Linked DNA regions of Lonchura striata. The protein of the gene in region 2 interacts with the protein of the main gene of each other region in a biochemical or structural test. Links are inferred from orthologs where the notes say so. Each region holds a gene or a part of one and is shown on either strand. Other genes may lie near its edges.

The links.
Region 1: the proteins of INSR (region 2) and GRB10 form a complex in vitro, tested with the Homo sapiens proteins (5 studies listed by BioGRID and IntAct). The link is inferred for Lonchura striata from reciprocal best matches to the Homo sapiens genes INSR and GRB10.

The regions. Positions count from the first base shown.
Region 1 is NC_134603.1:69,037,967-69,041,709, forward strand, and holds the start of GRB10 (growth factor receptor-bound protein 10), read left to right. Parts: upstream 1-1,581; 5' UTR 1,582-1,759; intron 1,760-1,993; exon of another isoform or gene 1,994-2,085; intron 2,086-3,743.
Region 2 is NC_134630.1:3,807,532-3,811,274, forward strand, and holds the start of INSR (insulin receptor), read right to left. Parts: upstream 2,755-3,743; 5' UTR 2,743-2,754; coding exon 2,658-2,742; intron 1-2,657. UniProt on the Homo sapiens protein: Receptor tyrosine kinase which mediates the pleiotropic actions of insulin.

The DNA.
Region 1 (3,743 bases), on a different chromosome or scaffold from region 2:
GGCTGGATCTATCTGTACTGAAAGTTTCTTATGTAAGCATGTGGGGCTGTGATGCCAGCCTACTGTGAGTAGGTGCCTTCTTGCCTCTGGAGAAATCTCAGGCAGAATCTGATACCACCTGCATTCACCTTTTCACTAAATAGTAACCTGGACAGGAGACAGCTTCTGCTTTGGTGAGGCACCAACACTCTGAGGCTGGACCCACAAAACGCAAGATCAGGGTGAATGCTGGCTCACAGGAAGGCGGGACAAAGCAGCTTGGCGGTGGGAAGGGAGCGCTGAACGAGGCTGGGAAGTGACGGCCCCATGGACTGGGGCAGGACAGGACAGGACGGGCAGCAGTGATGCTGACAGACTGAAGAGCAACGCTCAGCGCTGCATCAAGTGGAGATGGCCGAGGGGAGCGCGGTGCCGAGGAGAGGCTAGGCGGCTGGTGAGCACGGTGAGCAGCGAGCAGGCAGCAGAGTGGCACGTGTGTCCAAGAGGCTGAGGTGACACATTGAAGGAGACTGGAGAGATTATTCGAGGACCTGAACAGGGAGAGCGAGTGGTGAGAACAGAGCGAGAACAGAGCATGGTTGGAAACAACGGGGACCGGAGTGTGGGCTGATAAGAAAAGCATTCCTTTATATACAGTAAAGAAGAGCCACGGAGGAAGAGAAAGCAAGAGCAAAGAAGGTATCATGTTACATTTCAAAATATATTCAGCTCGGGCGCTCAGCCACAATACTCCCATTAGTGTACATGCATCTGTCTAGGAAGAAAAGCCCAGAGATTTCTCCCTCTTCTCCTTGGACTCAATTGCCTTTTATAGAGTTGACCACTTTCTTATGAGAGGTGTTTTTGCATCTAGTGAAGTAAATATTCCTCTCCTCACAGAGTGTGACGGCTCTTATTGGAAGTCAATACGTTTTAAACCAGTAGCTCTTAGGGAAGCGTGCAGTTTTGCTTCCCTTAAAAGAGCTTTTCCACAGTCCGAGTTATTTGCAAGCTACTTGCAAATCGGATGGCTCGGAGCTACCGTGGTGCAATAGCGAAGGTCCCAGCGCACAGAAGTTCGCAGCAGCAGTCTGTAGGAGTGCTAGTGGCAGCCTGCGGATCCCGGGAGGGCAGGGTGCTTTGGAGTACGGAGGAGCTCTGAAGAGCCCACCGTACTGTCGGCACACACCGGGAGCCTGCTCCGTGCTGTCGGGAGCGAAGGAAGGGGATCTGGGGGACTTGCCCTGCGCAGTTTTGCGGGGAAAAAGGTGAGAACAGGACCGACGACTTTAAAGAAAAAGTCCAAGCACAAATGCCTCGCGTGTGCAGATGCTCTGTTGGTTTTATTTTAAAGAAAAAACAGCCTTTCCCAAGAAAAGCACGCGCCGGTGCTACCTGCGGGTGAGCTTTTGTTCGAGGGCAGGACACCCGCCACAGCTCCACGACGTGTCGCCTCCAGCGCCGCTCGCCCCGGGACGGGGGAGGGCGGGCAGGGGCGCCGCCGCCACACAGCCCGCGGCCGCCGGGGCTCCCGGCCGCCCCCTGCCCTCGGCGGGGCGCGGGCCGGGGCTGCGGCTGCGTGCGGCGGGGGCGGGAGCGGGGCGGGAGCGGGGCGGGGCCCGCCGGGAGTCAGCTGGGCGCGAGGGGAGAACGCGGCGGCGGCGGGCGCCGTTAGCACCGGAGCCGGCGGCGCGGACAGGCAGGCAGAAGTTTTCTCCGCAGACCCCTCCCGCAGCCTGGGGACGCCTTGCGGAGGCGCGAACGTCCCCGTTCGCGTTGGGTGTGTTTTGCTTTTTTTTTTTTTTCTTTCTTTTTTTTTTTTTTTTTTTACTTAATTGCTTTTTTTTTTTAATTGTATGGTTTTAAATATTTTTTCTGTTTTAATTTTTTCTTTTGTTATTGTTGGTTTTAAGGCGCGTGGCTCCGAGAGATCGCTCTCCCCCGCCCGCGCCCCACTCCACCCCTCCGCCCCGAGGATCCCCCTCCCCGCCCGCGCTCCCGTCCCCGCCGCGCACGACCCTTCCCCCGACCCCCTGCGCCCGCCCCGAACTTGGCGGGTGCGCGGCGCCCGGCGGGCACGGTGCCGGCCGCCTGCCCGCCCAGCAGGTAAGGGGCCGGGGGGCGGCGGGGGCGCGCAGGGGGGCGGCGGCCGCCGCCCCTGGGGAGCCGCAGCGGGGTGAGGCCGGGCCGGGGTGGGTGAGGGCTCGCCGGCTTCTTGGTAGCGGAGGCCGGTGGGAGGAGGAGGAGGAGAGCAAACTTCCTTTTCCTGGGGCCGCCGGCGAGCCCCCCCCTCCCAGTTCCCGTGGGGAGCGCCCCCCGCCCGGCGCGGAGCCCCCGGGGCCGGCCGGGGTTCGCCGGCGGCCTCGGGGTTCGGAGGATCGGCCCTTTTTCCCGTCTCGGGGCTTCCTTGCCGCGTTTTGTTCGCTCGCTGCTGCGCGCCTCGCCCCGGCGGTGCCGGGAGCCGGGCTTTCCCGTCGCCCCGCGCTGGAGGAGAGCGAAGACCTGCCCCGCCAACTGCTGGTGGTGCCGCTGAAACTCCCCGGTTTTCCCCCTGCTCCGTTTGGGGTTTGCGGGAGGGCTGGCGGATGGGCAGTTCGCAGAAATGCCACCCCGGGGTGCTGCCGCCTTCCTGCTCCTCCGCGGTGGGGATGTGCGGCGGCAGGCGGCCGTGTGCCCGCCGGAGAGCGGCCCTGCCGAGCTCCCGGCCGTGCCGACAGCCCCTCGTTAGCCCGGGAGACCCTCCCTGCGGGAAGCGCGGAGCTTCTCCTGCCCCAGCTCCCCGCCGGGGAGAGGCGGGTACCCGTGGCTCTCCTTGTATAACCGCGGCGCTGCAAGCCGGGGCTGAAACTGTGGCATCTTTATAAGAACAGTTTGCAGTTAATTGGTTTGGCAGATGAACTCCTGCACAATCCTCTTGCCCGCTTCTGTTGCTCAAGTGCCAGCGCCCCCTCCCACCCCTTTCCCCCTTTTCCCCGCTTTCCTTTGAAGCGTCGCATAACTCTGTATTGCCAGCAGGATGGAAAGTGCTGATTCAGCAGCCAGGAGCCCCACTCCATCTGAAGTGGTGGTCTGCCTGAAATGCTCCCATTTGTTGAAATGGGAACATGTGTTGCTGGTATGTCAAAGCAGCATTGATCATGTCGTCTAAAACAGACTCAAATAATGTGGTTTGCTTTTCTCTTCACCAAGACAGAATGAATTTGGGGTTGGGGCAAAGCAGGAGGGGGCAGAATAGAAGGGATGTGGGCATCTGCCACCTTCAGTTATGCTTCTAAGGGGCAGCTGAAATTGTTTTGCCTCTTAAAGGTGCATGTGTGTTTTAACAGAGATGTTGTGGGATGCATTAACACTCCAGCTCCATCTATTCTTGCGTTCTGAGGCTAGTAGTTGTACTTACAGCTCTAGAAAGGTACAGAGAAGGGCAACAAAGCTAATCCTAGGATTAAAACGTGTGCGTTACGAGGACAGGTTAAAAAAAAAAAAGCACCACAAACACATGGAGATTAGAAAATCTGCTTGGAAAAGAGGAAATATGCTTGAAACTTTAGATGAGAGCTCTGGCTGTGCTTCATGATGCTTTTGGGGCTGAAGCAGGGTGTGGGAGTTAAGCAGGATGCTCTTCCCATGCTATTAGTCTTCCTCCAGGGCTTAACCTCTCAGAGCAGCATAAGGAGGAGAGCTGTTCCAGAGCTGTATTCCTCTGGCTATCTTTGTACAGGTATACGTTAATATCAGAGCTGCCTGGGTTTTCTTTCGCTACTCCT
Region 2 (3,743 bases):
GCATGAGTCATGTGCGAGATTTATTTCAAGAAGTTGCATTATGTTTACACAGTCATTAAAAAAAAATACACAAAACTGTCTTTCTTCCCAAAACAAGATATATGGATCTTCATTTTATGCACAGGTCAGGCCTTCTTTCCTTAACCCTTTCTTCTTCTCTCAGTAACTCCTGAACTCAGTAACTACCTTTAACCACATGTAAGAGAGGAAGAGTGCTCTCACATGAAGTATTCCTAAAATATTTAGGAAAATGGGATGGATTGAGGAGGAGAAACTCATAATCCGGATGGAAATGTGAATTTTACCATCCACTCCATTTTTCTACTGAACAACCTCCATCCACCTGCTGCTTGCCCCCAAATCTTCTCCAAGGCTGCCTAAAGGCACCAAAAGGGAGAGACATTTACACATGGGACACAAGGACAACCATGGATGGGGGGAATTTTGTACCTGCAGAGCCTGTCTGTGGGAACACAGGGCACAGATCTCCAAGAAAGCTGCCTCAATCAGACCCGTTGCTCAGGGAACAACTTGTTTGCTCATGCAGCTCTTGTACGTGCATTTCCCCCTCTGGTTTTTTGTTTCTGTTTTCCATCCCCACTGTGGTGCTCCATGACCTCACCATTCCCAGAAAACTGAGCCAAGCCCCCAGAAAATAGAATCAAACACCAGAGCAGCTGAAAACCTTTTAAATCACGTTCAAACATCAAAACCCCGACGGTCCGAACTGTCTGTAGAATATTTCATGAAATATTTGCACAGTAAAAATGATATGGAAATGTTCCAGCCCACGCTTTGCTTTGCTGTCTTGTGCCCCTGTTCCTCCATCCATGAACTCAAGAGAACATTTTCCTACCACGCTGTAACACAGCAAAGATTAGGGAGTTTAGAACATAGACACGCTTGAACCCCAAAAAGCAAATATGATTTAAATAAATAACCAAATCACAGGCTGCGCCGTGGCAGTAATAATAGTGTTTTCAAATTAGGAACTGCTGGACTCCAGTTGCACACGTATTTATTTATTATTAGTGCTATATGTCAACTGCCTTTTCCATCTCTGCTGGAGGCGGGCAGGTTTGCCCACAGCAGCTGGGACTGACCCTCCCAAGGTAACACAGTGTCACCGGACTCTTGTGAGGTTTCAAACGTGTGAGGGAAGAAACTGGGTTATTTTTGAAATACGTGATTTGTCCTATTGTTGGAAAAAGAGGCTGTCTTACAGGAGCATCCTGCCTTATTCCCTGAATCCCATACACATCCCAATAATGTCCATCACTGTATTGTCAGTACTTGAACTGATTCTCTTGCTCTTGCCTTTTCTGAAGGGAAAGCCAACAGGTAGATTGTCTATGTGAGACATGACCCACGGATCCAGTTAGCTGTCTTTAAATAAATATTTTCCTTTTGTCAAAAAAAATGGCAAGAATCGCCCAAAATTAAAGAACCTCCCATTAAAAGGATTTCCTGAGCAAGTTTATTTAACATAACCCATCAAAACAACTCGTAAGGCTTAACCTGGAGCTAGCCGCAGGTTTAACAAGCTTGTGACCTCCAACACAACATCTTCATACCCCTGTCCAGTATTTTACAAGCCCCTGTGTACACACAGAGCCTTCCCCTGGAGCTCTCCCATCTTAATACCTGTGGATTTGGCACACTACCTAAAAGTGGTTAAAGACAAAACCTCCGCGTCTGGCCACACTAAACCCTCCTGAAACCGGAGCCGGTTCTGAGGCAGCCGAGCAGCGGCAGGGGCACAGGACTGGGGAGGGAACCGGGGAAAGGATCAGGGAAAGGACCCGAGAAGAGACTGGGGAAGGGACCGGGGAGGGAGCGGAGAGGGACCCGGGAAAGGAGCATGGGACAGGACCCGGGAAAGAGACACGGGACAGGACCCGGGAAAAGGACACGGGACAGGACCCGGGAAAGAGACACGGGACAGGACCCGGGAAAGGGACACGGGAGAGAGACCCGGGAAAGAGACACGGGAGAGAGACCCGGGAAAGGGACACGGGACAGGACTCGGGAAAGGGACACGGGACAGGACCCGGGAAAGGGACACGGGAGAGAGACCCGGGAAAGGGACACGGGACAGGACCCGGGAAAGGGACACGGGAGAGAGACCCGGGAAAGGAACACGGGACAGGACTCGGGAAAGGGACACGGGACAGGACCCGGGAAAGGGACCGGAGAGTGGATCGGGGGAGGGGACCCAGGGAAGGGGCCGGAGAGGGGACCGGGAAAGGGACCGGGGAGGGGACTGAGGAAGAGACCCTGGCAGGGCCCGGGGAGGGGAGCCGAGGAGGAACCGGGGAGGAACCGGGGAAGGAACGGGGGAAGTGCCCATGGAAGGGCCGGGGAGCGGCTCCGCAGAGGGGCCCGTGCCCCTCCCCGGGCGCGGCCCCGCTGACCCCGGCCCGGCGCCGCCCGCGCGGGGCCCCGCGGGCCGGGAGAGCCGGGGCCGCCGCTGCCCTCCCGGCCGTGCCGCTCCAATCTCGGCCGCCGCCGGGCCGGGCCGGGGCTGAAGGTGACCCGGGAGCGCTCCGGGCCGCGCTGCCCGCGGGCCCCGCGCAGGTACAAAGGGCACGGCGGGCCCGGGCCCGCCCCGCCGCCGCCCGCAGCCCCCCAGCCCTCCCGGCCGGGCCCCGACTCACTCTCGCCGCGGCCGCGGCCGCACCAGGCTCCCAGCACCACGGCCACGGCCAGCGCCGCCGCGGCCGCCGCCGCTCTCGGTCCCATCCCGCGCCGCTGCCGCCGCCCGGCGCGAATCAGAGCCCGCGGGGCGGGCGCGGGGGCCGGGCCCGGCCGAGCATCGCCGCGGAGCCCCCGCGGAGCCCCTTTATAGCGCCGGGCCCCTCCCTGCCCGCGGAGTCGGCCCCGGCCCGGCGGCCCCTCGCAGCGCAGGCCGGGCTGGCGGCGCCCCGGCCGGTAAACAAGGGGCTGCCCCCGTCAGCTGCGAGCCCGGCGGGGCGGCCGCAAGAGGCGGCGCGGAGCGCGGGCACGGGACGGGACGGGCCGGGGGAGGAGCGGCGGCGGCGTCCAGGCACCCTTCATCACCCAGCCTCCCTTCATCATCCAGCCTCCCTTCATCATCCAGGCACCCTTCATCACCCAGCCGCCCTTCATCATCCAGCCTCCCTTCATCATCCAGGCACCCTTCATCATCCAGGCACCCTTCATCATCCAGCCTCCCTTCATCATCCAGGCACCCTTCATCATCCAGGCACCCTTCATCATCCAGCCGCCCTTCATCATCCAGCCGCCCTTCATCACCCACCCATCACCCACCCCTCCTCTGTCCGTCCGTCCTTCTGCCCGTCCGCCCACCCACCCATCCAGCCGGCTGTGAGCCCCGTTGGTGCTGCCCGAGGAGCCGCAGTGGCCTCGGCAGCGTGCAGCGAGTGAAACGCAGGAGTTCAGCAGCCTGACCTCGCTGTTTGTTCAAATGGAAGGAGAGCATGGTTAGGTGAGAGATTAGGGAAAATATTTTTACTGGGAGGGTGGGCAGGCCCTGGCACAGGGTGCCCACCCTGGATCCCTGGCAGTGCCCAAGGCCAGGCTGGACAGGGCTGGGAGCAGCCTGGGACAGTGAAGGTGTCCCTGCCATGGCAGGGCTGGCACTGGATGGGCTTTGAGGTCCTTCCCAACCCAAACCATTCTGGGATTCTGTCTCTCTGTCCCAGTGCTGACAGCCCAGGCTGAGAGCAGGGCTGCTGCCCTGGCTCTGCCCGTGTCCCTCC